Notamacropus eugenii: one gene and its partners. The protein of the gene in region 2 interacts with the protein of the main gene of each other region in a pairwise test. Links are inferred from orthologs where the notes say so. Each region holds a gene or a part of one and is shown on either strand. Other genes may lie near its edges. The genes, in order: STXBP4, KLHL42 and SERTAD1.

Region 1 (10,417 bases), on a different chromosome or scaffold from region 2:
ACTAGGGAAGATAAAAGTTTGGATTAGACAAGGTTCACAAAGTTTACAGTAGAGTGGCCAGATAGGGAACAAATGCAAGTAACTATGATAGATAGGGCATAAATAAGGCTGAGTTGCAAAACAAAAAACACACTATGTAAGGTCAGGTTTTGTTCCCAACCAGGAGAACTTGGGGCAATACTCTTTGAGTTGGGTAAGAATTCAAAAAGTAAAGGGGAGAAAGGGCAAAGGTATTTAGGGTGACCAGGCACAGAAGACCAGGTAGGTCTACTTGAATGAGATTGCCAAAGGAGAGAGTGTAGAGAGATGAAAGTCAAAGACAGGTCCATAGGAAACACCAGCAATGAGAAATCTGGAAGGAGAAAGGGACTAGTGAAGGAGTGGTTAGATAGGCAAGAAGAGTCTCAAATCAAGGAAAGAGAAAAAATATCCAGTAAACAGGAATAATCAATTGTGTTAGAAGCAGCAGAGAGGTCAAGGAGGAAGAGGACTGAAAAACAAAAGGCCATTATAGCTTCAAGGATTCTGAGGACATTGGTGAAGGACAGAAGCTAGATTTCAAAGTGCTGAGAAGACTGGACAATGACAAAATGAAGGAATCTCCAGATAAAGATGAGTCAGTGCCTAGATGAGCTAGAAGGATTAGAAAAAAAAAAAGACTGAGGATATTAGGTATCTGGAAAACTGAAAGAAGGAATGATGAAAGATGCCCTGAGAAAGAGGAGCCAACTTCAGAATCAGGAAAAGGACAGATCAGGGACCTATGTATAAGGCTTAGTGAAGAAGAGTGATACCTGTATTTTTCTAGCCTAAAAAAAAAAATATTACAGTAGAAATTGAGAAATGGAGGAGGAGGGGAACTGAAGAAGCTAAGGCAGGATGCCCTCAATCTCCTTAGAGAAGGTTAAATTCTGTTCAACATAAGTAGGGTATGGGAGAGAAAAGAAAAGGTCTGAAGCACACAAAGGAAAGAATGAATGGAGAGTGTGAACAGAGTGACAGACTTTTTAGTCATGACACCAAGTTCACCGCCTTCCTTAAATCTTTTCTCCATACTAAATAATCCTAGTATGGCATGCTCTCTGGTCCACTCCCAAACCCAGTCACATGGCTCAGATATCAGGATGTTGGGGACAGAACTTTAAGAAGGGGTAGGGAAATGGACAAGGAGTCAGTGAATCAAATGAGTGGGGGAAGGAGTAAGAGGAGTACCAATTGACTGCACTGATTCTGAAGCCAAGGGTAATGAAAGTATCCCAAAGGAGGAGGTGGTCAATAGTGTCTAAAGCTGCAAAAAAAGGTCACTGGGAGGGAATTTTAAAAGGGTTGTTGGTGACCTTTTTGAGAGCAGTTTCATAAAGTGGTAAGGGAGAGGTATTGAGGAGAAAGTAGATGATGAGGAAGTAGAGGCATCATAAACTGTAAAAACTTTCAAGAAGTTTGGCAGTAATGAGAGAGAGAGAGAGAGAGAGAGAGAGGAGTAACTGGCTGGAATAGAAGTGTCAAAGAAAGGTTGTTTAAGGTCCTAGGATTGTAGACCATGTTTGCAGAGCAGGGAGGGAGAAACAAGAGGAATGAAAGACAGGTAATGGTTTTTGGAGGGAAGGTCAAGTGAGGAGGATTGAAAATAAAGGGGAAAAAATGTTCTGGCTCTCAAGTTAAAGAGATTACATAGTTTAGCAAGTATTTTAATCAGGGTTTTATAGCAGTGATGCTAACGCTCACCATGATCATTTCATGAGAATCCAGGAGTTCCTGAAACCTTGTGACACTCAGTTCTTGGAAGCAAGGGTGGAAAAAATGTATGGGAGTGGGAGAGGAGAGAAAGAGGAAGAGACTAGGCAGAGGGAAGGAGAGAAACACATTAACATGATTAATATTAGTCATAATTTATAAATTTTTAGATGTGATTTTCTAAAGATCTGAAATTACTTAAGAGTAACAAGAATTCATTTTTGAATTAAAGTTATTATCTAGTCCCATCCTACCTCTAAAGCTGACCCCTCCTGATGGCCTATGGAGGGTCATACCTCTCTGGGCTTTAGTTTACTCATTTGCAATATGAGGGGTTTGAATAAGATAAAGGTTCTTTCTACCATTCAGCATGGACTACTAAATGTGGCAATCACTTACATATATTTCGGTTTGTTGAGGCCTAAAATTCCAGTGAAGACTTGCATGCACATCTGCATTGAAGGTGACTTTAATGATTCGATCCTTAACAGGTACCATAGTCTCAATCTGGTCTGAAGCATGACCAGCTACAGGTGACCCACCAAGTCCTGTGGTCTGGGAAAAAATTATTACAAAGTATATTAAAAACAAGATTTATAGATTTTTAATGAAGGTGCATCATAATCATGAAACGTTCCTTTAAAACACTACCACAGGATTAAAGGACACCTGATCTACAGTGGGCAGCTAGGATAGTGTGCCAGGCCTGGGGTCAAGAAGATTCATTTTCCTGAGTTCAAGTCTGGCCTCAGACACTTACCAGATGTGTGACCCTGGGAAAGGCACTTAACCCTGTTTGCCTCAGTTTCCTCATCTGAAATGAGTTAGAGAAGGAAATGTCAAACCACTCCAGTATCTTTGCCAAGAAAACCCCAACTGAGGTTACAAAAAGTCAGACACAGCTGAAACAACTGAACAAAGACAAAGATCTACAACTAGAAGGCACCTTAGAGGCTAAAGATTTTTTGGGGGGGAGTTGGGGTTAAGTGACTTGCCCAGGGTCACAAAGTTAAGTATCTGGGTTGGATTTGAACCCAGGTTCTCCTGACTCCACCTAGCTGCTTCCCCCACTACTCCCCCAAAAAAGATTTCAACCAAGTCCTGAAGTCCCAAAAATATGCTTTCCCAATGGAGCAGAGAACTACTATTTTAAATATGTCTTCAAATAACTGTGACAGTGCTCCTAATTGCTTCAAAATATATAAACATGCTATGCTACCATTTAAATTTTGTTATTATTAGTGCACCTTTTAAGATAAGTATGGAATACCTACATTTGTACAATCATTTTACTTTTAAATGTTGAACATCTTAACTAATTTCCAAATCAGTTCACTAAACAAAGCAGAAGCTAGCACTAAATAACAAAAGGCATCTGAGGCTTTATTCTAGTGGCCACATCCCTAAGAACCTGATAGTCCAGTCATTTAGTCAGTTCTAGATCAATCTAATTATATTCAATTGAAAGCATTTATTATGTTCCAGACATTGTGCTAGGCATGTATAAAGAAAATATCAAAGCAAGAGTACTTGTTTCAAAGGGCATACATTTTAAAGAGGAAACAACAGGCATATACATACACATATGTATATACATGTGTATATACATATCTACAAAACACACAAAGCAGATATAAGATAAGCAGGGATTGGGGGATAGACGTACTACCAGGAAGGGCCTTATATTAAAAGTGGCACCTGAGTTGAATCTTGAAGGAAATTCCCAGGAATTTCCAAAGTTGGAGATGACAGAGAGTTCATTCTAGGAAAAGGCGAGTCAGTGCAAAGACATTGCCTGTCATTTGCAAAGAATAGAAAAACTGTAAAATGCATGGGAGGAGTAATGTGTGATCAGGTTGGAAAGGCAGGATGGAACCATGGTTTAAAGAATTTTAAATCATAAAGAGGAGTTTATATTTAATCTGAGAGAGGGAGACACAGCTTCATCAAGTAGAGTTCAGACCTGAACTTTAGGAAAATTACTTGGCAGCAGTGAGCAAGAAGGTAAAGATAGAAGGCAGCAGGCAGGTCTGTTTAGAGGCTATCTCAATTGTCCAGAGAAGTGAGGAGGGCCTGAGTGGAAAGTGATTGCCAGGGGAGAGATGTAAAGAGATGCTGCAGAGGTAGAACTGACAAGATCTGGCCATTAGCTGGGAATGTCAGGTCTCCAAGTCTAGCTGTGCCTCCTAATTGCCTAACAAGCAGGAGCCTGGTCTTCTCTAAATGTCATTTCCTCCAGGGCTCCATACAATGTTCTGTACCCAAACACCACATACTTTGTAACCTAACCCCTCCCCCCCCTGCCTTTCCAGTTTTCTCACACCTTACTCCTCAACTACTACTTTGTAACCTAACCCCTCCCCCCCCTGCCTTTCCAGTTTTCTCACACCTTACTCCTCAACTACTACTTTGTAACCTAACCCCCTCATGCCTTTCCAGTTTTCTTATACCTTACTCCTCAACTACTACTTTGTAACCTAACCCCTCCCCCCCCTGCCTTTCCAGTTTTCTCACACCTTACTCCTCAACTACTACTTTGTAACCTAACCCCCTCATGCCTTTCCAGTTTTCTTATACTTTACTCCTCAACTACTACTTTGTAACCTAACCCCCTCATGCCTTTGCAGTTTTCTCACACCTTACTCCTCAACTACTACTTTGTAACCTAACCCCCTCCTGGCTTTCCAGTTTTCTCACACCTTACTCCCCCCAAACTACCCTGATCCAGTGAAACTGGCTTCATGGCTGTTTCAAGAACAAGACACTGCATCTTTTGGCTCTGAGCATTTTCTCTGGCTGTACACCCTACGCATGGAATGCTCTCTCTCCTGTCTTTGCTCCAACTAAAGACCTCCCTGACTTCCTGTAAGTCTCAATTAAAATCCCACCGACAGGAAGCCTTCCGTACCCCTCTCAGTTTTAGTGCTTTCTCTCTTTCCATTATTTCCTATTATTTGGTTGCATTTTTATCTCCATGCCAGGTTGTAAGCTCCTGGAGAGCAGGGGCTGTCTTTGGTCTCTTTTTGTATCCCACCACTTGGCACCAAGTTTGGCACACAGTACGTGCTAATTAAGTGTTTCTGGAACTGAACTTAATAAATATTTGATGAATGAATGATTGAATGAATGATAATACGGGCAGTGTCACAAAGGACAAAGTGCGGGAATCTCCAGAGCAGGGAGCTGGTTAACAGCATTAAAAGATGCCCAGAGGTCAAAGAGAATAAACACTGAGAAGTCACTGCATGGAGCAAGCCTGCATTCACACAGCGCCTTTGTAAAAGCTTGCAAAGCACTTCACGTAAATTATCTCACTGGATCCAGATCACCAAAGACAAGGAGGGGTGGGCGCTATTTTTTACGCCCCTTTCACAGATGAGGAGGCTGAGGCCTGGAGAACCCAAAGTCACAAAGGGCTGTAGGGGGCCGGGCTGGGATTCAAACCTCAGTCCTCTACAACAGACCCAGACTCCTTCCCGGTAAGGTCCCGTCCAGTCGGCGCGACCTTGGGCCCGTCCCTCCCTGCTCCGGGCCTCGGTTTCCCGGCGGGTAGGAGGAGCCTCCGGGTCCGGGTTGCCGGCGGCTGCCCTACCTGGCAGTAGAGGCGGTAGAGGGGCACGGCGGCGTACGAGGCCCCGATCATGCCCACGGCGGCCGCGGCCACGTACGTGAGCACGGTGCGGTTCCGCCGCCGCCACTCCTGCTCCTGCTCCCGGGCGAACGGGTTCGTGCTCTTCGGCCTCCACGGCGGCTGCCGCTGTTGAGGGGCCGCGGCCCGGCCGCCCCACCAACCCCAGCAAGCCTGGAGAGGCTTCCAGTGGGGCCGCCCAAACACCGCCATGGCAACCCGGGCGAAGCGCCCGAGCCCCACTTCCGGCCCCGGAGAGCGCGAGATCGGGCCCTCGCGAGCGTGGCTGCTGGGGCCCCGTGACGTCAGAGCGCGCCGTCGGCTGGCGCGGCTTCTCCAGCCCGCTGCGGCGGCAGCGGCAGCGGCAGCGGCGGAGATAGCAACGGCCCCTCTTCCAGCAGCCTCGGCTTCGGGGACGCGCTACGGCGGCCGAGCGGCCGGATTGTGGGTGAGTTCGCGTTTCGCTCCCGGGCTCGAGCCCCTCCCTATCCGGCCCCCAAACTCCTAAGCTTCTGGTTCCGCGCGTGGAATCTTCCTCGGTGCCAACCCACTCCCGCTCGAGTCTGGGGCGAGAGTTCCGCTCAACCGGAGACCCCGCCGGCGGCCTGAGCCCCTCCACCCACCCCCAGTTACCTCTCCCGATACTGATAATGAAAGGAGGCAGGCTGAGAGGGAGAGCCCGAGTGTGACTCGCGCCTCTGCCCTTCTTGCTGTGTGACCTGGGCAGCGTCGCTCAGCCTCTCTGGTCCTCGGAGCCCAGCTGCACCAGGAACGACCTGGGCTAGACCAGAGGTTCCTTACATTTTGGGGAGGATTGTCACAGACCCCCTGTAGCATCCCATCGAGCGCGCTTTATTAAGTCCCTACCAGGTGCCGAGCACAGTGCTAAAAGGCTGGAGACAAAGAGAAAAACAAACCCCAGCCCCCGTTCTCCAAGAGCTCGTAGTCAAGTGGCAGCCTCGTAGACCCGATGAACTCCCCGACCCCACCTCACTCCCCAAGGTTTTAAAATTCATAAAATACATGGGATTTTAAGTCAAGTCGGCAAGCATTTTTTAAGAGCCTATTGTGTTCGGGGTGCTTTGCTAAAGGCTTAACAAGTATCCCACGGAGGTAGGGGATACCTTTATTCCCCTTTTGCACATAAGGAAGCTGAGGCTGAGAGAGATTGAGAGACATGTCCAGGGTCACAAAGCCAACACTTGTGTGAGGTGAGAATTTGAACTCAAGACTTTTCCAAGTCTCTGCCCTCAAGGAGCAGGGGACAACAGCGCATGAAAAGGAAACCAATTACCTTGAAATACAGTGATATCAAAATACTTAAAATGGATTCTCCCTGTTGATAATCCCTGGACCAGATAATTTTTTAAAAATTAAATTCTGTCAAATTTTTTTTCCCCATCCTACGGGCGTTTGTTTTTGTCCCTTTCTGTCATCTTCCCCACTCCCAAACAAACAAACAACAGCAAACCCCTTGTAACAAGTAAGACATAATCAAGTAAAACACATTTCCACATTGGCCAAAATAGATGTCTCATTCTTTATAATGCAGAATATTTAAAAACCTTTCTGCTTCCGTGGTCTGGATCTAGTGATTTAAGGACCTACATTTTCTTTCTTTTTTTTTTTTTAATTAATACATTTAATTTTAGTTTTCAACATTCATTTCCATAAGCTTTTGACTTCCAAATTTTCTCTACATCTCTCACCTTCCCCACTCCGAGACATTGTGCATTCTGATTACCCTTTCCCCCAATCTGCCCTCCCTTCTATCACACCCCTCCTTTCCCTTATCCACATCTTCTCTTCTTGTAGGGCAAGATAGTTTTCTATACCCCATTACCTATATTTATTTCCCAGTTGCATGCAAAAACAATTCTCAACATTTGTTTCTAAAACTTTGAGTTCCAACTTCTCTCCCTTCGTCCCTCCCCACGCATCCCCACTGAGAAGGCAGACAATTCAATATAGACTATACATGTGTACTTATGCAAAAGACTTCCATAATAGTCATGTTGTGAAAGACTAACTATATTTCCCTCCATCCTATCCTGCCCCCCATTAATTCTGTTCTCTCTTTTGACCTTGTCCCTCTCCAAGTGTTTACTTCTAATTACTCTCTCCTCCCATTTGCCCTCCCTTCTATCATCCCCCACCCCACTTATCCCCTTCTCCCCTACTTCCCTGTAGCGTAAGATAGATTTTCATACCAAATTGAGTATGCATATCATTCCTTCCTTAAGCCAAATGTGATTGAGGGTAAGCTTTTTCCCTCTCACCTCCCTCCTTTGCCCCTCTATTGAAAAAGCTTTTTCGTGCTTATTTTATGAGACATCATTTGTCCCATTCCATTTTTCCCTTTCTCCTCCTAGTATATTCCTCTCTCACTCCTTTATTTTTTTAGATATCATCCCTTCCTATTCAACTTACCCTGTGCTCTCTCTCTATATGCATATAATCCCTCCAACTACCCAAATACTGAGAAAAGTCTCAAGAGTTACAGATACTGTCTTTCCATGTAGGAATGTAAACAGTTCAATTTTAGTAAGTCCCTTATGATTTCTCTTTCCTGTTTACCTTTTCATACTTCTCTTGATTCTTGCATTTGAAAGTCACATTTTATATTCAGCTCTAGTCTTTCCATCAAAAATGCTTGAAAGTCCTCTGTTTCATTGAATGATCGTGTTTTCCCCTAAAGTATTATACTGTTTTGCAGGGTAGGTGATTCTTGGTTTTAATCCTAGTTCCTTTGACATCTGGAATATCATATTCCAAGCCCTTCAGTCCCTTAATGTAGAAGCTGCTTCATCTTGTGTTATTCTGATTGTATTTCCACAATACTAGAATTGTTTCTTTCTGTCTGCTTACAATATTTTTCTTTGACCTGGGAACTCTGTAATCTGGCTACAATATTCTTAGGAGTTTTTCTTTTTGGATCTCTTTCATTAGGTGATCAGTGGATTCTTTCAATATTTATTTTACACTCTGTTTCTAGAGTATCAGGGCAGTTTTCCTTGATAATTTCAAGAAAAATGATGTCTAGGCTCTTTTTTGATCGTGGTTTTCAGGTAGTTTCATAATTTTTAAATTGTCTCTCCTGAATTTATTTCCAGGTCAGTTGTTTTTCCAATGATATGTTTCACATTGTCTTCTTCTTTTTCATTCTTTTGCTTTTGTTTTGTAATTTCTTGATTTCTCATAAAGTCATTAGCTTCTATCTACTCCATTCTAATTTTTAAGGAACTATTTTTTTCAGTGAGCTTTTGAACCTCCTTTTCCATTTGACTAATTCTGCTTTTTAAAGCATCTTCTCATTGGCTTTTTGGAACTCTTTTGCCATTTGAGTTAGTCTATTTTTAAAGGTGTTATTTTCTTCAGCATATTTTGGGGTCTCCTTTAACAAGCTGTTTACTAGTTTTTCATGATTTTCTTGCATCTCATTTCTCTTCTTAATTTTTCTTCCACCTCTCTTACTTGATTTTCAAAATCCTTTTTGAGCTGTTCCATAGCCTGAGACCACTGCATATTTAATTTGGAGGTTTTGGTTGTAGAAGCCTTGACTTTTATGTCTTCCTCTGATGGTATGCTTTGTTCTTCCTCATCCGAAAGAATGGAGGAATATCTTTTTGCCAAGAAAGTAACCTTCTATAGTTTTATTTTTTTCCATTTTTTCGGCATTTTCCCAGCCAATTACTAGACTTTTGAGTCCTTTGTTAAGTGGAGGGTATACTCTAGGGATCTGTAAATTCTCAATTCCTCCAAGGTGATACAGTCAAGGGAGAGGAGTCCTGTGCTGTGGTCTGGGAGCAATCACAAGCTTTTCTGCCCAGAATCTGGGAGTAGGATTCCCTCTCCGGATCCTCCACCAGGTCCACAATGCCAGCACTCCTCCTCACTGTATGACTGCAGCTCATTTCCCCCAAGGTCTCTAGGCAGAGGGCTCCAAAAATGGATGCTGCTGCCTCAGTGGCTGCTGCCACCCTGGAGCCAGGGCTAGGGCCAGACCTTGCTCCCTTCTCACCCAGGTGAAAGAGCTTTCTCACTGACCTTTGAAGCTGTATTTGACATTTGTGGGTTGAGAAATCTGGGAACTACAGCTGCTGCCAGTAATTTTGTGCCCTGAAGATTGCTCTAGTCCTGTCCATGCAGAGCTGTGCAGCACTCAGCTCTGAGCCTAGTACCATAGACCTTTCTTGTCACCCTTCCAGACTGTCTTGGGCTGGAACTCTCTTTCACTGTGTCATTTTGTGGCTTCTGCTGCTCTAGAATTTGTTTAGAGTCATTTTTTACAGGTATTTTATGAGCTATGGGGTTAGAGCTAGAGCAGGTCCGTCTTTCTACTCTGCCATCTTGGCTTCACCCCCCCCCCCCCCTTTCCCCCAAGGACCTACTTTTTCAACAGAAAAGTGTGGTAAAATTTTTGGAACACCCTACACACACACACACACACACACACACACACACGCACGCACGCACGCACGCACATGCACAGGCACATATACATACATTATTCATAGGATCATAGATTTAGATCTGGAAGGGACTTTGGAGTCCATGAAATCCAACCTTATCATTTTACAGATGAAGAAACTGAGTCATAGGTGAAGAAGCTTGACCAGGACCATATACTAATCTAAGGGAGGTTTTGAACTGGTGTCTTTCAGACTCCTACTCTAGCACTCTATCTGTACCACCCTCAATTACATGTCATGAGTTCCTCCTTCAGGGAGCCCATTCTTTTTGTCATTCTTTGTTTCTTTAGCATTTAACAGTCTGTCTGATTTGTAAATATATAATAAGGGCTTAGTAAATGCTTTTTGACTGACTGGTTTGGCCTTCAAGCCAAGAAGACCCTTGTTCAAATTCTTTCTCTTACCAACTCTCTGAAACTTAGAATCTTGAAGAAATACCAGCCTACATTGGTAGAGGATGTTTCGTCTCTGGGACTTTCCTTGATCAAAAAAAATCACAAGTCCAGGCTCTGTCTCCTATTCCTGATTAACAGCAGAATTCAAGCTCTGGTGAGGGAAGAGAAGGTTTCATTTTTGTCTTTGC
Region 2 (10,432 bases):
TCTTGTTGGCCTCAGCTAGCACTAGAGGCCCTCCTTTTTTATTTCCTGTGGGTTTCTGAATGAATTTTTGTATAGTTTGGGGGCTAAAGGTAATTTACTAGGCAGCTAAATCCCCATAAGTGCAAGTTATGAGTTCTGTGAAGTGGCTGCATTATTTAAATTCACACTATTCAAAGTTATAACCATTTGTAAAATATAAATCTTCCATGTAGAGAAATGGAAGCCAAAGAAGGCCCAGAGACAAAGCTAAGCTCTGGGAGCCAAGACGCTATCTCTTCTCCAGTTTAGCTGCTTTCTTGGACATTGCATGAATGTAGACTGCTAAAGCCTGAAAGGAGTTTCGAGATACATCATTACATGAAAAAAGAAATATACTGCCCCCCTCCCCCCACAACACTAGCACGCATTTAGTAGTAAATATACATGCTCTATTGTTGGGGGTGTAAGCTCAGTTCCATGTGGACAGTCTTGGGCGGGTAAAGGTGAGGACTTCTAAACCTTAGAGTTCTCATGAGGCCCCCCAGGGAACAGCAGGAAATTGAGGTGTGAGACCGTGCATTTCCGCCTCTTCCCGTGGGAAAAATGCTGGGAGAGAGCATCCCCGCCCTCGCCCTCGAGATTGGCCCCAGTCTGAGCACACCTATTGTTGTCTAACAGGCACGGTATTCAGGTGCAAACTATGCGGCAGGAGAGCTTAAGTAGGGTCAGGAAAGCCTGAAGGCGCTCTTAGTGCTGAGGGGCCATTAGAGGACAGAAGGCCCCTCTTCCCTCTCTCCTCTCTTCTCTCTTCCCTCTCCCCTCTCTCCCTCTCTTCCATTCTCCCATTCTCCCATTCTCCCACTTCCAATCTCTTACTGTAAGATCTTTGCCTCCTTGGGAGATTTCTCTCTCTCCTAAGGAAGAGTTCCCCCTGCACATGTAACCAAGACCCTGAATAAAGCCTAACCCTTGTTCGACTCTGGAAAGTCTCTTCTCTCATACGTTTATCCAGTTTGGCCAGCCGAAGACCTGCGATAGGTAAGGTAAGACTCGGGTAGCCCTCAGGCCTCTAGGCTTGGCACTCTATGGGACTACAGACTCTGATACAACCTGTCTTGACGTTTTGTGAGATGAGCTAAACATTTTTGAGGAACAAGGAACCACAAATTCAGTTTTGTTGCTTTCAAAATGATATTGGGGAATTTCTCAACCCCGAGTTCTCTTGAAGAGTATAATTTCTCCCAATTTGGTCCATTTGACTGGAGGTCAGTAAATCAAGAGGCAAGGCTAGAAGATAAAAAATTTAATTAGCATCAGCTGATGGTCAGTTGTCATATGAATAGCAACCTGGCTATTTATTAAGGGTTTTTAAAGTCATAGGGTTATAGTACAGGTAGGTAAAAAGAGACTGAGGCTGCTCAGTCACGTTGCTTTTCGGGGAGATTGAATGGGATTTGGGGGATCTGACAGGATAGCCAATGATTTGGAGAATGTGTTAACCTGGTGTTAGATGTGTTAACCACAGGGTCTTAGAAGTTGCCAAAGATCAGGTTTTCTAGTTAATCTTATCAGATATCTTGGCAAGAAATCTAGAAAAGAGTGGAAGCCTCCTTCAAGATAGAAATCAGTCAGGCTCATCCTGTCTTTGCCAGCCTGTCTTTCTATATATATAATTCCATAACTCTGTTTCTTTGGCCTCAAAGGTTAGTTTTTTGGGAGAGATGTTTTCTCTAAGTTCACAGTTGGCTTCTTCCTCAATGTTATATCATCCCAAACTTTCTTCATGGATGTGATGACTGATTAAGTGGTCTCATATATTGGAAGGCTTCAGTCATCTGGGCTTGGAGTCAGAAAGCAAAAATTTAATCCTGACTCTACCATTTACTGCTACCTATATGATCTTGGGTTTAACCTTACCTCTCTGAAGCTACTTCTTCATCTGTAAAATGAGAAATTTGGATTAAAATTGTCAATGTGATGCAGTGGGAAGATTGGTGGATTCAGATACAGAAAACTTGAATTTAGATTACACTGTTAATTACCACCTGTATGAACTTGGGCAAACCACTTGACTTCTGTTTCCTCATTTATAAAATAAAGGGGTTGGATTAGATGACTCCCATGACTTTTTCCAACTCTAATTTATGATCCCACGGCTAGGTGATTTCTAAAGTTCAGGTCTAACATTTTTACCTATGATTTTTTGATGAAGGCATACAGAGCAAGAAAAGAATTTCCAGACCTTACTTGTGAAAAGGGTGTTCATGCACATATGTACTGGTTCAAGGCAATAAAATAACGATAATATATGGCTTAGTTTCTCTTACTGATCTAGAGTATAATGCTTGTTTTGCATGCTCTTTCTCCTGTGGAGACCCAGTCTTTCCCCAGACCACCTCAGCTCACAAAGCTAAGGAATAGTATCTCTTGTCTCTTTAAAGGGGAAAAATTTCTTCCTCAAGATACTTGCGTTAAATCATACCAATAGGGATTTAATGGTTCAAACTAAAATTTTTTAAAGATGTTAAACAACTGGAATATTATTGGAATTGGAAGGGTTGTACCACTGACAAAATGTGAGCACAGGCTCCTTTTGGCCAGCAGCCACAGGAAAAGGTTTCTCTGCTTTAAGAAAGATCCTATTTTAAGAACACCCTGAAGGACCAAGATGTGCTAGTTGATACAGTACATTTATTTTATCCGTAAGGCAAGAGAAATAGAGATGGGATAAAAATGTTTGTTTCAAAGTAAAATTATAACATATTTGCATCAATTAGTGTACCAGGTGTTTTTAGTGTTAATTCTACTTCCCCATCAAGAAGAGATCATTCAGTAGCCTATTTAAGCTTTTATCAAGCAAAGACATAAGGACTGTGTAGAGTGTCACCTAAGTACTCCTCTGAGTTGGGGGTTGGGAGAGGGTTGCCACTCCTAATCTTCCAGTCAGATGATTAGCCAACTAGATGTCTAGTGGATAGAGTCAGAGACATGGAGTGAGGAACAGCCAAATTCAAATCTTGTCTCTGACACTCTCTAGCTATGTGATCCTAGGCAAGTCACTTAACCTCTGTCTGCCTCAGTTTTCTCATCTGTAAACTGGGGTTAATAATAGCACTTACCTCATAGGGCTGTTGTGAGGATCTAATGAAATAATACATGTAGAGCACTGTGCCATGCAAACCCTAAGGCATTACACAAATGCTAGCTACTATTAATAATAATTACTATCATCTACAAAAGAAGTTCACAAGTCTTGATGCATAGGAGACACAAAGTCAGGGGAAGAGTACCCCATGCTAGGGCATGCTAACACTTTACCTCAGCTCCACATTTCTTGTTAGCCACTGTTAGGGCTCAGCAAGAGGGATTCTCTCTGTCATGACTCTTTCTCAGAGTTCACAGTGTAAGTTGGGGAACCAAAATATGTTGTGGCCTAGGGGTGCTAGGAACCCTGAAATACAAGGGTTTAGGGCAGGGGTCTGCCTTGAAAGAATGTGACCACTCAAACCTTCTTTCAGTCCAAGTAGTGAGTTTATTAAGACACCAGTTGGGTGGGCAAGATTCCTTGTGAGTCTGCCCTTAATAGGATTGAGAATGAAATTCTTATATAAACAAAGGGAAAATGGGTTAGTGAAAAGATCTTGATGGGATTAAGGAGTGGCAAGTAGCCTGGAGTGGTCCAGAGGTAACAGAGAATGAAGGGCTGGGCTGGGTTAGGAGCCACAATGAAAACGGTTGAAAAGATTATACTGGGATGGGCCTGGATGCCTCGAATCTGGACTGTTGAAATTTGTGGTAAAGTTCAAAGACCCTTTTTAGAGGTTCAGGTCCCATACCCCATCATTAGTATATGATTGTGATGGACTACTACTGATGAGGTACAGCCTCTGGGAACCTCCTTGAATTCTCCTTGAATCTTCCCACTTAATCTGGTTTTTCATACCCAAATCCATTACCCTTAATCTAGCCTGGCCATCCATTGTCTGTTACCTCCCAATTGCCTCCGGCTGTCTCCTGCCCTTGATTACATCACTTGTTGCCCCACTTCCATCAAGATCCTCTTTAGACTCTCCTCCTATCCAGATCCCTCCCACAGTCTTTCTGTATATAAGTTCCATCTGGCCTCCATGAAGGCGCTCTCATTCTGTCTAGCTGAGATTCTGTCTGGTCCACATGTCAATACAAGCATCACAAATAGTTTGGCTTAAGAGTCAACCCAATATGGCCAATCTTTAATAAACTTTGTTTTACTTTGACTGAAAGAAGGCTTGAGTTGAATTCATTTGGCAGGACCCAGTGTGTTGGTATTTTGGGGTCCCAAGCACGCCAAACCTCAACATTATGATTCTCTGACCTGGTCATCGCTACTGTGCCATAAGAAATGATGAGTGTGATGATCTTAGAAAAGCAGGGACAGACTTGCAGGAAATAATGAAGAGGAAAACGAGCAGAACAATGAGAATGCTGAACACTAACAAAAACATTGCTTTAAGAACTATTTTGAGCAAATAAGTCATTTTGACTATTAATACCCAAATTAACTACAAGGGACATAGGAAGATGCTATCTGCAGCTGGAGAAAGAACTGATAGATGTGTAGAATGATTTTACACACACACATTGTACATATATACACATTTGTGTCTAATGGCTGCCATCTTTGGGGGGAGAGGGAAGAAAAATGAAAAAAGAAATTTACATAACTTTATTATATATTAAAAAGGAATACCAAGTTGTATATAATAGATTCACAATTTCATGTGCAATTATTTTTTTAAAAATTAATACCATGTTATGGGAAAAATGCTTATTGATTGGGGGAAAAAAAAGAGAATTTACAGGGCTAAGATGAAACTTGCCTATTTCCATGACTTTGGGCAAACGTCTGTGCGGATGCCACAGGCACCCCTGGTGTCCTCTGTCCTGTGACAGTCTTCGCTATGTGGTCTACCAGAAGGCTGCGCCACATAGAAAGGGCTCACCAGACTTGTGCCAGGTTAACTTAGGGTGACTGTGGGCAGTTCTGGGTGATGTTTGGGGGAGGACGTTGACAGGCCGGGGGGATAACCAGGAGCTGAAGGGTGACTTAAAGGAACAAGAGAAGCCAGGGGAGCTCGGGGGATTCTGGCACGTGAAGAGGGGCCAGACTTCATCCGCCGGGTCCGAGGCCAGCGAGGACAGGGCTGGAAGCTGCAGGGAGAGATTTCAGCCCCATCTAAGGAAAACTATTTTTAGTGTTGGCGCCGTCCTAAAATGGAAGCGGGCTCTTCTTCACCAGAGCCTCCGCAAAGGCTGGAGGGGCTTGCGGGGCCTTCCTGGAGGTCTTAGAGGATGCGGAGGGGATTCCCGCACAGCCACAGACTGGCCTGTCCAGGACCCTCGGAGAAACTGTGCTCAAGGACCCAAGTCCTGGGGCTAAGGTCCCGGTTCGGTCCTGCTTTGTGTCTGCCCCCTTGCTACTGCACAGACCCGCGTTCTCTCCGCACGCCCGCAGAGATGCTAGGGGCTCCAGGGGGCACAGTACTGGGCACGCACGCCTGCCAAGGCGGCCCGGAGACCGGAGGCAGACGCCGCAGAGCCCTGCGGGGCGGTGCCAGCTATGAATGGTGCTTTCTCGGGGCACCGGCTCACGGGGCGTCCGGAGGCAGCTCCGGGCAGCGGAGGCTCGCCTCCCACAGGGGCAGGTCCGGCGTTTCGGGGCTTGGGCTTGGGGGAGGAGGCAGACGAAGGATGTTCGGGGCCCGGGGCCCGGGGCCGGGGGGAGAGCAGAGCCTGGCCTTCTAGGGAGCCAGGAGATGAAACGAGCGGGGGCGGGAGCGGCGGGAGGAGGCCGAGCGGGGGAAGGAGGGGCGGGAGGAGGGGGCGGAGCCAGGCGGGGAGGGGCCCCTCCTCCCCCTCCTCCCCCCACCTCCCCCTCCCCGCCCCTTCCGGGCGGAGCCTGGGCGCTCCCGTGCCCTCCCCCTCGCCGAACCCAGAACCGGGCGGGTGGGGGGCGCTGTCGGGGCCCCTGCCTCCCCCGGCCCGCGGCGGGCGCCTCGGCCATGTCTGCGGAGGAGGTGGTGCAGATCCTGCTGGAGGGCCGCTGCTACCCCGTCAGCAAGAGGAAGCTCATCGAGCAGAGCGACTACTTTCGCGCCCTGTACCGCTCGGGCATGCGGGAAGCCGGGGGGCCGGAGTCGGGGGGCCCCGAGGTGCAGCAGCTGCGGGGGCTCAGCGCCCCGGGCCTGCAGCTGGTGCTGGACTTCATCAACACCGGAGGGACGGGGTCCGGCTGGTCTCTGGGCCCGCAGGGAGACAAGGGGAGTGGAGAGGAGGAGGAGGTGGAGGAAGGCAGCTGGCTGGAGGAGCTGGTGGAAGTGGCCTCCTTCCTGCAGGTCACCTCCTTGCTGCAGCTGCTGCTGTCCCAGGTGCGCCTGGACAACTGCCTCGAGCTGCACCGCCTGGCGCAGGTGTACGGGCTGCAGGACCTCCAGGAGGCCTGCCTCAGCTTCATGGCCGCCCACTACCACCAGGTGCTTCGCAGCCCCCAGTTCCACCTCTTGGTCACCTCCCCTCAGGCTCCGGGCGAGGCCGATCTCAAGCAGAAGCTGAGGGAGGGCAGGATGAAGGGAAAAGCCGTGCTCATCGCCCTGGGAGACTTCCTGGGGGGCCCTCTGGCCCCGCATCCCCACCAGGGAGAGCCCAGGTCCATGCTTAGGTACGACGAGGCCGCCCTGCGCTGGCTGCCTCTGGCCAACCAGCTGCCCCCCGACCTGGTGAACGTCCGGGGCTACGGCTCTGCCGTCCTCGACAACTACCTTTTCCTAGTGGGAGGCTATAGGATCACCAGCCAGGAGATCTCTGCTGCCCACTGCTACAACCCCTGCAAAAATGAGTGGAGTCAGGTGGCCTCGATGAACCAGAAGAGGTAAGCACCAGGTGCAGGGCTCCCACAAGACCCTTCCCAGCTCCCAGGTGATGCTCTGGAGGTGACTTGGGTCCTGGGCCCTGGCAGCAACACGCTTGTCTGTTGTGACTGCACACTGCCTGTGGGCCTCCAAGATCAGGAGTGTTCCCTTACCTTGAGGAGGAACAAGCCAAGGGCTGCAGGACAGAGGAGCTGAGCCAGCTAGGCAGTAGGACCTTTAATGTTAACGGGTCTTTCCATACAAGGTGGCACCTCGCCACTTTCTAAGAAGGACGGTTCATGAGAAAAGTTTAGATTTTCCTTTGATTCAGGCCACTAAAGCCACCCATGATCACTCTAATCCGTTATATTTATCTGAAATTCCCAAAGGGATTACTTCCATCAATTCAGGATCCTCCTAAAGCCTGAACGTTCAGTTCATGGGCTCATAGATTTATATGTTAGATAGGTAAATAAATAAAACGTGCACAATCCCTTCCCTCAAGGAATTTACAATCTAATACAAAAAGGCAAAACATAAAAGAGGAGCTGCCAAGGGATGGAGGCAAGGAGCACTGGGGAGGGAAAGGAAGGCAAGGCGGTGGAGCAAGAAGCAAAGTGAGTCATGGGGCTGGAGTTTCCCATGATACATGGTGCCTCTTGGCTGGGACTCACCAGTTAGTGAGTAGGCCTTAGGGTAGTCATTCTCCAGGGAGGTAGAAAGGACTAGAATGATTTAGTTCATTTTACAGGTGAGGCAACTAGATCCTAGAGAAGTTTAGTGACTTGCCTGCCTGCAAGTCAGTCATACAGGTTTGGTAGTAAGTGGCAGTGGGGGTTCAAATTCAGATCATCTAACTCTCCTACATACCTCACTGTTGTTCTGTCCTGTCTGACTCTTTGTGACTCTATTTGGAGTTTTCTTAGATACTGGAGTGGCTTGCCATTTCCTTCTCCAGCTCATTTTACAGATGAGGACACTGAGGCAGTTTTAAGTGACTTGCTCAGGGTCATACTTCTGAGTTTGGATTTGACCTCAGGAAAGTGTGTTCCTGACTTCCAGGCCCAGTAGTGTATTCATTGGGCAACCTAGGTGTCCCAAATATCCCACCATGCTTACTAGGAAATACGTTAGAATTTTATTAGTTACCCATATTGATGTCTTCTGTTTTTGACACCATTGTAGCTACCCCAGCATCTCTCCCCTTTCTTCTCCCAGAGACCCATTCTATATAACAAATAATATTTTTAAGAGCCCTCCCCCCCCCCAAAAAAAGGGAAACAAAGACTGGGAGACAAGGGAAATAAAGAATAAGAAAAAAATTAGAATTGATTAACATATTGACAAAGTCCCAAAACATGGACAGTGTGTACCTGTGGACCTCCCACCTCCACAAAGAGGTAGGTTGGGGATAGTGTCTCATATCTCTTGATTCATATCATGCTTGATGATTATAATTCAGTTACATTCATGTTGAATTTTTTTGTGTATAGTTCTCGTCATTTATATTATTCACTGTGTATATTGTTTTCTTGGCTCTACTTCACCATATATGCATTACTTCTTGTCGATCTTAATATACTTCATTGTATTCATCACATGTAACATTTCTTGAAGCACAGTAATACTTCATTACCTTTACATACCACAGTTTAGTTAGCCTTTCTCCAATCAGTGAGAATCTACTATGTTTACAATTCTTTGCTATCACAAAAAATGCTTTTATAAACATTTTGGTTTATGTGGAGATCATCTTTTTATTAATGGCTTCCTTGGGTAATAAACACAAAAAAGGAGTCTCTGATTCATAGGATATAGACATTTTAGTCACTTTATTTTCATAACTCTAAATTACTTTCCGAAATGGTTGTACCATTTCACAGCTCAACTAACAATGTATTAGTATATACATAACCCCTTCAACATTGACTATTGCCATTTTTTAAAATTTTTGCCAATTTACAACTTATGGTTGTTTTGATTTGCATTTCTATTAATAATTTGGAGTATTCTTTCGTGTGATTGTGAACACTTCACAATTTTTTTTTTTGGAGGACTGTTTGTTCATAGTCTTTGGCGACTTATTTATTGGAGAATGGCTATTAGACTCATGTTTGTTGTTTGAGTGTCTTGGATACCAAACTCTTATTGGAGAAATTTGATACAAAGATTTTTTTTTTCCCCATTTGATCTCTTCCTTTCTTATTCTAGGTGCATTAATTTTGTTTGTGCAGAAGCTTTTTGGTCTCACAGGATCAAAGTTATCTATTTTCTCTGTTGTAATTGCTTCAGTCTCTTGTTTGATTCAAAATACATCTACTGTCTATCGTTGTGAGAGGTAGAGGTCTGCTTCTCTTCTAGTTTTTTTTTTATGGGATGATTTTTCATAATGTCATGTATCCATTTAGAATGTATTGTAGAATATGTTGTGAAAGTGTTGATCTAAGACTAATTTTTGCCAGATTGCTTTCCAGTTTTCCCAGAAATTTTTATCAAATAAGGAATTATTTCCTTTAGTAATTATGTTTTTCACTTTATCAGACACTGGGTTACAGAGTTCTTTTCATCTTTCTCTCAGTTTTTGAACTAATACCAAATGGTGTTGATGAGTATTACCTTATGATAATAGTCTGAGGCCTAGGAGTGCTAGTTCCCCTTTATCACTACTTTTTTTCATCATTCCCTTGACATTCTAGATCTTTTGTTTTACTAAATGAATTTGGTTATTATTTCATCAAATTCTATAAACCATTCCCTTGATTATTTTATTGATATAGCATTAAATGTATAAATTAACTTTGGAAGTTTTGCCATTTTTATTATATTGGCACAACTTAGCCATGAGTACTGAATATTCTTCCAGCTCTCTAGATTATTATTTTTTCTTTAAGTAACACTTTGTAATTGAATCTATACAAATCTTTTATGTACTTTGGTAGATCAATTCCCCTAATATTTTATGTATTTTGTAGTTATTTAGAGTGAGATTTCCCTTTATATTATTGTTTCTTGTGTTTTGTTATTATTATATAGAAATAGTACTGATTTTTGAGGGTTTATTTTGTAGCCTGCAACTTTGACAGCGTTATTAATTGTCTCAGTATTTTTGATGATTCTTTTGTATTTTCCAACTATACCATCATTTCAACAAACAGATAGTTTTACCTTCTCTTTATTTTTTTAATTTCTTTCTCTAATCTTTTTCTCTTGCTGTTGCTAGCATTTTCAGAACTATATCAAATAATAGTAGGGAAAGTGGGCATCCTTACTTTACTCCCATATTTAAATGGGAAAGGATCTAGTCACAGGGCTGGGGAATCTGCAGCCTCGAGGCCACATGTGATCTGCTAGGTGCTTGAATGTGGCTTTTTGACTGAGTTCAAGTTTTATTTTTTTTTTTAAATTTATTTATTTGACTTTTAACATTCATTTTCACAAAATTTTGGGTTCCAAATTTTCTCCCCATTTCTCCCCTCCCCCCACCCCAAAACACCGAGCATTCTGATTGCCCCTATCACCAATCTGCCCTCTCTTCTATCATCCCTCCTTTCCCTAGTCCCCATCTT
Region 3 (9,672 bases), on a different chromosome or scaffold from region 2:
AGGGACCCTCCCAGCCCTGACATTCCCTGTTCTAAGTGGCCCTCCCAGCTCTGACAATCCCTGTTCTAAGGCCCCTCCCTATCCTAACATACCCTGTTGTAAGCCCCCTCCCAACCCTGTCATTCCCTATTCTGAGGACTCTACCAGGTCAGAGTGGATGGTGTCTCCCAGCTTGGACTTTCTGTGTTCTAGGGACCCTCCTGGCTCTTATCGTCTATTTCTAAGACCCCCTCCCCACCCCCTCCAATTCCATCATTCAGTCATCTGTGTTCTAAGAGTTCTTCTGAAGGCCATGACCCTCAAACCCCATGACAGAGTAGGTGAGAGTCCCCAGAAAGAGCAAGGTTCACTCTCTGGACAAGGGTGGGAGGGGATTGAGTCTTGTCCTGCCCCAGGGTTCCTCCCCCTCCCAGGTCCCTCAAAGGCCCAGCCCATTTCCCTCCTGGGAGGGGTAGGATCTTCGGGCTCCCTGGCTCCGCCCTCCTCCTCCTGAATCGGGCAGGAAGCTGAGCTAGAGAGGGTGGAGGGTTGGGCCAGGCCCCGTCAGACAGGAAGGGACCTGTTCAGGGCTCACAGGCAGCCTGAGGATAATAGCACTTAGATCTTGAAGGAACTGAAAAACCCATCGAGTAAAGCCCTGGTATTTTACAGATGAGGACATTGAGGCCAAGGAGACCCAAACCCATCCACAGTCCCATGGCTAGCCCAGATCCACAGACTCTCAGCTAGAGTTGTTTCTGTTTTGTTACTGGACCATTTCCCCTAACCCCCTCAGTTTTTCATAGAGACTCAAGTATCTTCTCCACTCTAGCTCCCCAGCCCCATGCCTAAAAAACGGAGGTTTCTCCCTGGTGCTCATCCCCTCTTCATCTCACTGGAGACCAAGAGCACAGGTGAGGGAGGGCGCCAGAAGGGTGGAAGCCTCCTTAATTCCTGGAGTTGGGCTATTTTCCTTCCTTCTACCCCAGCGTGGAGGTTATGGTGCAGGATTTCTTTTTAAGCATCTTTTCTCCCCAGGGCTCCGGCTTTGGCCAGCCCCAGCTCCTCCCTCCTTCTGCCCTCAACCCACGTCCTCCCAACCGCCCCCCCCCATCTCCCCAGTCCCAGGAAGGACGCGAGCGCCCCGTGCCAGGCCGCTGAGTGTGCAGGGACCCCGCCCAACCCTACTCATTCCAAAGGACTAAGTGGCCTGAGGAATGTGGCCCAGTCATAGCTCCCACAGGCAGGGGACAGACAGATGCACCATCTTGTAGGCGCACAGAATGTCACACACAGCCTGATGGCAAGTGCTCAGAATGTATGAGAGCGGGAAGGGACCTTAGGACATAGCAGAGACTGCCCAGGTCCTTACTGAAGCAGGCTTAATACGATAGAAAACTGTTCCCCAAAGTGGAATGGGCTGTCTTGGGAAGCAGGGAGTTCCCCATCACTGGACATCTCCACCTGGAGGATGACCACTTATTAGAGTTGAGGACACTTTCCAAGTGTCCTAGAACTGGGGACTGTTTTAGGGAGTCTTTGAGATCCAAACTACTTTAATCATAATATTAAGATCTTTAATTTCCAATACAGTAGATTATCAATAGCTACAATCCATAGCCCTTAAGAAACTTCAGAAACCAACTCTTTCATTTCCCAGTTGGGGAAACTGAGGATCTAGAGAGGCAAACAAAAGGGGTGCATGGTCTTCAATTTTTAAGAGTGTAAAAGGGGCCTGAGGCCATAGTTTGGGAAAAGCTACAGTAAAGGACATTTTTGCTTGGATACAGGGGTGGGCTATTGAGCAACAAACATTTATTAAGCCACCTGAACCAGTTCCTGCCTTCACATGCTAGGGTCTTCCACTCCTCTCTGCAGAACCACCATTTTGGGAAGGACTCCAGCCATGAATCCTTCCACTCTCTCCAGACTCTACCCCCTTCTCTTCTAATGTCTTGAGCCTCCCTTTCCAACTTCAAATATTTGTTATTTTCCATGATTAAAATGTAAGCTAGTTGAAGATGGGGGCCACCATACTTACATTTGTGTTTCCAGAGCTTATCATATAGAATTTGGTACACAGGAAGCTTTTAAATGCTTCATCCATCCCCCCATCCATCCATATTCTACCGCACTGAGGTCCCTCTTAGTTCTGAGATTGTATATTATTCAGTGTGACCTTAGAACAGAAAGTTAAAACTGGATGAGGTCTTAGGGAAACACATCTATTCCAACCATCATACAGAAGGGAAGCTGAGGACCAGAGAAAGTGAGAGACTTCCTCAAGCCCACACAGAGAGTTGGAGACAGAGTTGAGACCTACAGATCACAGGATCCAACCTCTTCATTTCCCAGTTGAGGAAACTGAGGCCCAGAGGCAAATAACCTTTCCCTGAGATTACCTGACAAGTAGCAGTAGCAAGGGTCAATAATTCACTTTAAATATGCACAGATGGGGGGAGGGAGAGAGGGAGAGAGAGAGAGAGACAAGGAACAAATTGTTTCATATATTAATTGTTTTCATCTTAAAAACCGTCCACGCTTTCCTCCCCACAATTCCATGACCCCCCCTCACCCCTACAGTCTGTAACAGGAGGGGAGCTCCCAGCAGCTCTAGTCCATTTCAGGTCTCTTGGGGGCAGGCAGGGAACCATTTCCCTACAAAGTCTGTGTACCCACAAGCACATCCATGAGGTAATCTAGTTCAGACACGTCCAGCCCTGGCCCCTGTATCTTGTCCTCTGTTTCCCCAGAGTCTGTTTTAAGATTGGGCCACAGTTCACAGTCATACATGGAGGTGTCAATGTCATCAAAAAGACCCTCCAGTCCATCCTCCAGGAGGAGCTCCAGGGACCCCACAGGGGCTGGCCGCCCAGGATCCAGGCCCAGGTCCGGGGGCCGGCTAAGGGGGGCATCTTCAGGGAAGGCTGTCTGGGTGTCACTGAGGCCCTCAATGTGACTCAGGTCATCCAGAAGGGCTGAGACAGACGTGCACAGAGGGGCATCAGGGACCACTGGGAAGGGGTCAACAGGAGCTGGAGAAGGGGGTTCTGGGGCAGAGGGCTCCAGGGCCATAGAGGACTGAATTCTCCTCAAGGTGTTGACCACCAGGACAAGGTGGCGGAGATCTGGCTCGCCCCTCCGAAGGCCATGGTGGAGTTTGAATATAGACAGGCTGAAGAGTGAGCTGGGGGGCAGGGGTGCTGGGCCAGCCCCCTCCTCAGGGCTTGGGCTGGGAGTGGCCTCCTCTAGCCACCAGTCCTGTGAGGTCAGGTTTTCCTCCTCTTCCTCCTCTCGCTTACGTTTCACTCCTTTGCACAACATGGGTCTGTGGAGAAATGGGGGTATGGGGTCAGAAAATGGTCTTTTGTGAGCATTCTTTTGGTTCTCTCCATCAAAGGACTCTGAAAACCCCTCTCCTGATGCCTTGGGACAATGAATCCCAGAAAATTAGCGAGAGACCTTCTAGTGCAGGGAGTCTTAACCTGGGGTCTGTGAACATTTTAAAAATATTTTAATAACTGTATTCCAATACTAATGAATTCTGAATTCTGTGTTTTATTTCATACACTTTAAAACATTATTCTGGAAAGCAGTCCATGGGCTTCACCAGACTGCTCCAGGGGTTCCAATACTAAAAAGGTCGACCCTCACTCCGGTATAATGGCCCCTGGAGCCCCTTCCAGCTCAGACTAGGATCCCAAGTCACAACACCGCTGGGCCTCAGTTTTCTCTTTTGTACAACTCAGATTGGCCTGCCAGGAGCCGGGGACCCCTCCTCTCCTTCCACAGAGCGGGGCGCGGGCAGTGGGGGCTCGGAGGACGGGGCTCGCTCTGGGCCAAGCAAGAGTCAAGGGCAGAGGCCGGACGCCCCTGGGGCCGGTCGGGTCAGCTGGGAGTGGGGGAGGGGGCAGCCTCAGAAGGCGGGCGCCCCCGGCCCAGCCTCGCTCGGCTCCCCGCCTGGCCCGGCCCGGCCCCGCTTGGTTCCGGCTCCGGCTCGGCTCCCCGCCCGGCCCGGCCTCCGCTCCCGCTTCCGGCCCGGCCCGGCACGGCTGCGGCGGCCGCGGGGGCGGGTGAGTCACGCAGCCGGAGCCAGGGAGCCGGCGCCCCCGCTCCCCGCCCCCTTCCCCTTCCCCGGGGCTGGGGCGTGATTCACCCCGGGCCGGAGCAGGCGCCAGCGGCAGCGACAGCGCCCCGGGTCGGGCCCGGCCTGGCGCCCGGGGAGCCGCGCCGGGAGCATCGGACGCCGCCAGGGGATCGGACTCGCCCGGGATGGCGATCCCCTCTCCGGCCCCCAAAGCCTACCCCCTTCCCCCCTTCCCCTTCGCCTCATTTACATACCCAACTCGTCGGCTGCCAATCAGAGGGTCCGCGACGCCACCAGCAGCCAATCAGGAAGCGGCAGAGGCGACCGCATCGCTCGCTCGCTCACTCCTCCCGCGGCCGGCCCCTGGGTCGCTAGAAGCTGCACTGGCCCGGGCGCGCGGTCGTGGGGTTGCTACTTTCCTCTGTTTCTGCCCCGCCCCTGAGAGGCTCCGCCCCAGGAATTCGGGATTGGTTCGCTTCCGTGATGGGCGGGGCTAAGAGGGAGGCGAGGCCATCCAGGGGCCCAGGTTCCCCGAGCTGGATTCCCCAGGCCCTGAGGCCCGGGACGGGGGCACTCTCTGGTTGGCCAGTCCGTGTGTCTTTGGTCTCAGCTGTCGCTTTCCGGGCTAGGGAGGGCGAGGGCGGGGGTCCGTTCTTGGGCTTTTGGGAAGGGTTGGATGAAGGAGCTGAAGAAACGGATTCTCCCCCACTTCCCCCTAAAAGGGGCTGGGTCCTCCCCTTCTTGCTTGGGTTGACAAGACCCCCACAAGCACCTGTTTAGCTAGCCCACCCCCTTGGACCATCCTTTCCTCCTCATTTTTGCCACAGAGACTCTGGCACCGAAGCTGGACCGAAAGGCCCTGAGGGAAATCGTAGAGCCCTCTCCCCCTTCCCCCTTGCCATCACCTTCCCGACCCAGCCTCCTTAAAAAGCCTGCTAGAGCGAGTTCTGGGGGGGTGGGGAGGGAAACCCTGGGAGCATAGTCTAGGTCTCTAGGACTCGGTGGATCTGTGCGGGATGGAATGGAAAATGCCTGGGGGCTCCGAGGCCCCGAGCTTGAATTTAGGCTCTGCTCCAGGCAGGGTAGACCTGTGTGACCTTGGCAGATCACTTTCCTTTTCTGGGTCTCCGCTGCAAAATCAGGGCTGCACCAGATAGTTTCCAAGGCTTTTGCAGGCCCAGACTCCTAGGACCCTTCCCTCTTTTGGACCCAAGTCCCTGCTTCGAATGAGGAGAGGCTTGAGCTCTTGAGGTCGCTGGGGCTCTGCCATTGGGCGATTCCAAGCAGCTGAGTCGAGCCCTGTCCGTCCCTAACTTCTTGGCAGCTGGGGAACAGATGAGAGAGGCCCCGACGGAGGGGAACAGTGGGGCGGAGTGGGGGGAAGGAGAGGAGGGCCTGCCCAAGGCACGGAAACGAAAGTTACAAGAAAACGAGCGCGCGCGACCTGTGGCTCCGAAGCTAGAGCACCCCGGGGGCTTTATTAGAGGGAGAAACCAGAGTCTTGGGGCCAGGAAGGGAAGAGCTAGCAGGGCCCCCGGGGTGGGTGGGGCAGGTGGAAGGGGCCCAGCTAGACAGCTTTCTCAGGAGTCCTTCCAGCAGTGTCCAGACTGTATCCTGCACCACAAACATACCCCTTCTCTTTTCCCCAACTTGTAGTCTGGAGGAGGGAGAGAATTCTGCAGAACTATCCAGCTGGTCCATCCTAGACTGGAGGGGAGCCATGATCTCCCCACAGCTGAGTAAACTCTCCTCACCAGACCCTGCTTTGAGGGCCAGCTCCTGGGGTTGAGGAGCTCTGCCAGCCCTTTTACACCCCTCCTCCTAAACAAAGTGGGGTAGTAAGAAGAAAGGAGACACTGAGTCAGAGCCTGTCACCACTCTTCCACAAAGCCCCCCTCCCCCAGCAGAAGAAAAGGATTTCCTCCTGTATTACTACACCCCGATATGAAAAACTTTTGGGTTCCAGGACTCTTTTCCATTCTTAGAAATTATTGAGGAGGTACTTCCCGACCAAGAGCTTTTGTTTGTCGAATATCAATCTCTATTTACCATGTTAGAAATTAAAACGTCTTCGTATTATTATTAAAAGTTTTAACATTGCAGACTTCCAGAAAGGGCCCCAGGGGTTCCCCAGGGGTGCACTCTTTGAGAGCAGAGGATTTGAGGTAAGTTTCTTCCTCTTCCAACCCTAAATTTCCCCCTAAAATGTGGAGATTGGATGAGATGATGTCTAACTTCCACGACTAAGTCTAAACTGACCACCTCACCCAGGAGTACCCTTAAAGGCAAGGAGGGCCTGGTGGAGAAAGCGGAAACACCTGCCCCCTGCCCCTATAAGGCAGGCTACCTGTTCCTATCCACCAGAGGCTCCAGGCCAAAAAGCATGATGGGAAGAAGAATGGATTAAAGGGACATTATAGAATTTGAAAGTTTTATTCACAAAAAAAAAAAAAACCCAAACAGGTAAAATAGGTCTTTTCAAAACAGAAAAAAAAGGTGTGACCACAAATAAAGATTCCTTTATCCCTGTTGCACTTCATCAAAGCCTCTTTGGGTAGGGAAGGGGGTGATCAAGCACAAAGGAGGGGGGCAAAGGAGGGGGGTACTCCTGGCCAGGAGGGGGGGAGGGGGGAGGAAGAAGATGTGATTTCTTACTGTTTCCATACCTGTCAACCTTGGGAGTTGGGTGGAAGGGAAGGGGGGGTTGGTCTAGAGCCCCTCCTCCTGGCAATCTGGACTTTGTCTCCCCAGAGGCCCAGGCTCCTGGCTTTCAGCCCTGCCCTGCCCCCTTTTTTTCCCCAGGCAGTTACTCAACCCTGAAGCCAGCTTCTTCATGGGATATGAAGCCAAATTAAGGGAAAAATTAGGGAGTACCCGGGGACCAAGCTCCTAGGAGACTAACTGGAGTAAGAATAGCAGCCCCAGAGTGCTTGGTCCTTGCACACCATGGGCCAGTCAGGGTGATAGGGGGAGAGGAGGAGGGATTCCCTGGCAGCAGCTTTGGCTGTGGGAGGATGAAGACAGGGGGAGCAGTGTTCCATCAAGCCATCAAAAAAGAGAGATACAATCTGTTTTTTTTGCCATCAGCAGGCCCTGAGACTAGGCCAGGAGACTTTCCCAAGTCACAAGGAAGCTTCACTACAGCTTCCTGAGATAGGAAATCTTTGGAGACCACTTTCTTGAAACTCTTCAGAGGTAAGCAAGTATCTAAATGAAGGGTTCAGGGTCCTAGGGGACTTGGGGTCTTGCCCCACACCCCCACAGTCTTATGATCCCTTGATGATTTCCAAAATTTGATCCAGTTCAGTCCAGTCCCATTCTGTCCCAGAGGAGGAGGCAAGGGCAAAAAGTGAGGGCCAAGAATCCCTTTCCACATCTGATGTGTCAATGTCAGGGAAGAGGTCATCAGGAACCAGGTTTCCAAAGTACCTGTTGCCCATGATCTCAAAGCTGCCTAGGGCAGGTTCCTCAACTCTGACAGATGGGGAAATTGAGGCCCGAAGAGGGGAAGGTGTTGGCTTGCAGTCACTCAACAGATCAGGGGCAGAGGTAGGGCTACAACTCAGATCTGGGGGCTCACAGTGGTCTTGTGTGATTCTTAAGCCTCCAGCTTATCACCTCCAGCTCTCTGAGGAACTTGTTGGCAGACTGGGCAGTTGAGGGTAAAAGCAGCTCCAACCTAGGTTCCTGGGGCAAGGCTGCGCTCCTCTCCAGGTTCATCTCTTCCCTGATGTGGTTCAGGGTGTCTGTGATGAGCACTTGCCTCAGGAGGTTTGGGGGAAGGCTAGCTGGAATTTGTCCATTGAAGGGCAAATTAGGGTCTGGCCTATGCCAGACCTGTTGGACATGGAATAAGGGGCCTGCTCCTGGGACTCCTTCCCGACCTCCACCTCTTCAGGATCTTGGTGATCATCCAGGTGCTTTCCATTCACACCAACCACCATTGTCCCTTTATGGGAGAAGGGGCAGGAGTTAGGAGACCCTGCTTGCACCCCACAGGGTCCCTGCTGAAAAGGGTCCCCAGAGAGCCCCGAGTCCTAGACAAGTCTCTGCCACTGACTCGATATGGGGTCTCCGTTAAGACTCTTACCAACTCTAAGTCCCCCTGTAATAAAATAGTGGGGTAGGATTGGAGACTCTGTAAGGACCCTCTTCTGAAAACTGGTAGATGGATTGGACTTGGCAAGGAAAACTTGCCCTATTGTTTTATCCTCAAAGATAAATTTGGGAAATGCCCAGGATTTTGGTTTTATATTATTATAGTGTGAGAAACAGGCTGAAGCAATGGGTAGAGAGAGCTGGCTTCAGAACCAGAAAGTTCTGGGTTCAAATCCTACCTCAGACAATACCTATGGTGGGACCCTGGGTAAGTAACTTAATTTTTAATGCTCTTGGCAACTCAAGACTATTAATTACTGAGAAGGTGCTGACCTGCATAGGTAGAGGGATTAGCCTCATTTGGAATCATGAATTGAGACCTGGAAAGGAACAAAGATATCGAAGTTATTCAATTTTCCATTTTACAAATAAGGAGATTTAGGCTGAGTGGTTCAATGACTTGCCCATGGACGCTTGTTTATAGAAGGATTTGAACTCCCGTCTCTGACACTCAGTCCAGAATGACATCCACTGGGTCTTCTAGGAGTTCCTTTTACCAATAAGATCGAAAGCCCTTATCCTTTTAATATCTCAGTAATCAGAGTCCTCCCCTACCCCCTCCGTCTTCCCCTCTTCCCCCTTGATTTGGACCTCTGTTAAAATACTCTGTCACCGCTTGTGAGTAGTAAGTAGACCTTTCTGGGGCTCAGTTTTCTTATTTGCAAGATGGTTTTTAAGATCCCTTCTAGGTCCTATGATTCTGATATTCCAGGACTTTGATCGCCCGGGGATCACTGCAGTAAGGTCCCCTCATTTTACAGAGGGGAAAACTGAGGCACCAAGAGAGGGAAGGACCTTGCCCGAAATCATTCACTGTCAATTCAAGACTAGAAACCAGTTCTCTAAATTCTCACTGGACAAACCTCAAATAGTTAAACAAAGATGCGCAAAGGACTCATACGTGCCCCACCCTTGGGGCTAAGTACCCATTGGAGTATACTACCTTGCTCCGCCCCTCCCGCCTTAGAAATGTTCAGACAACGCCCATTTGGGCCTATTCTCCAATAAGAGCGCCTCATCCTCTCCAAGCCACGCCCAGAGAGGCGTAGCCCCTTTCCTTTCCCGGAGGCTATAGGGGAATGAAGTGCGGGTTCTGTTTCTGGAGAGAGAAAATGAAACCATTCAGGTGGTGGACTACAACTCCCAGAAGACCATTCCATCTGCAGCTGTCTGGAGCCTCTGGCTGCTCTCTAAACTGCTTTGAAGAAGGAAAAAAACCCATCACACACAAAAATGTAGCAGGAGCTCCTCCCCGCTCCCCGAAATTCCCCAGTCATCCACCCCCATCCCAGATTACTGCTAGAGAAATTCCGAGGTTCTTTTGGGTGAGAACCGGGGAGTTTAAGCAGAGACACAAGCACCTGGGTCCTTAAGCGAAGGGGTGGGAGAAAGGGGCCCCTTCACTTCTTCCTCCTCTCTCTCAGATAAGGCCTCTTCTGATTCTGACT

The links.
Region 1: the proteins of KLHL42 (region 2) and STXBP4 interact in a two-hybrid assay, tested with the Homo sapiens proteins (2 studies listed by BioGRID and IntAct). The two-hybrid records come from large-scale screens. The link is inferred for Notamacropus eugenii from reciprocal best matches to the Homo sapiens genes KLHL42 and STXBP4.
Region 3: the proteins of KLHL42 (region 2) and SERTAD1 interact in binary tests that used the Homo sapiens proteins (3 or more experiments, as listed by UniProt). The two-hybrid records come from large-scale screens. The link is inferred for Notamacropus eugenii from reciprocal best matches to the Homo sapiens genes KLHL42 and SERTAD1.

Annotation. Positions count from the first base shown.
Region 1 is NC_092873.1:366,585,966-366,596,382, forward strand, and holds the start of STXBP4 (syntaxin-binding protein 4), read left to right. Parts: upstream 1-5,630; 5' UTR 5,631-5,810; intron 5,811-10,417. Other genes in the region: COX11 (cytochrome c oxidase assembly protein COX11, mitochondrial), read right to left, coding at 2,134-2,289, 5,327-5,575. UniProt on the Homo sapiens protein: Plays a role in the translocation of transport vesicles from the cytoplasm to the plasma membrane. Inhibits the translocation of SLC2A4 from intracellular vesicles to the plasma membrane by STX4A binding and preventing the interaction between STX4A and VAMP2.
Region 2 is NC_092874.1:218,566,515-218,576,946, reverse strand, and holds the start of KLHL42 (kelch-like protein 42), read left to right. Parts: upstream 1-5,891; 5' UTR 5,892-6,020; coding exon 6,021-6,886; intron 6,887-10,432. UniProt on the Homo sapiens protein: Substrate-specific adapter of a BCR (BTB-CUL3-RBX1) E3 ubiquitin-protein ligase complex required for mitotic progression and cytokinesis. The BCR(KLHL42) E3 ubiquitin ligase complex mediates the ubiquitination and subsequent degradation of KATNA1.
Region 3 is NC_092876.1:31,105,681-31,115,352, reverse strand, and holds SERTAD1 (SERTA domain-containing protein 1), read right to left. Parts: upstream 4,531-9,672; 5' UTR 4,321-4,530; intron 4,288-4,320; exon of another isoform or gene 4,136-4,287; intron 3,308-4,135; 5' UTR 3,304-3,307; coding exon 2,638-3,303; 3' UTR 2,478-2,637; downstream 1-2,477. UniProt on the Homo sapiens protein: Acts at E2F-responsive promoters as coregulator to integrate signals provided by PHD- and/or bromodomain-containing transcription factors. Stimulates E2F1/TFDP1 transcriptional activity.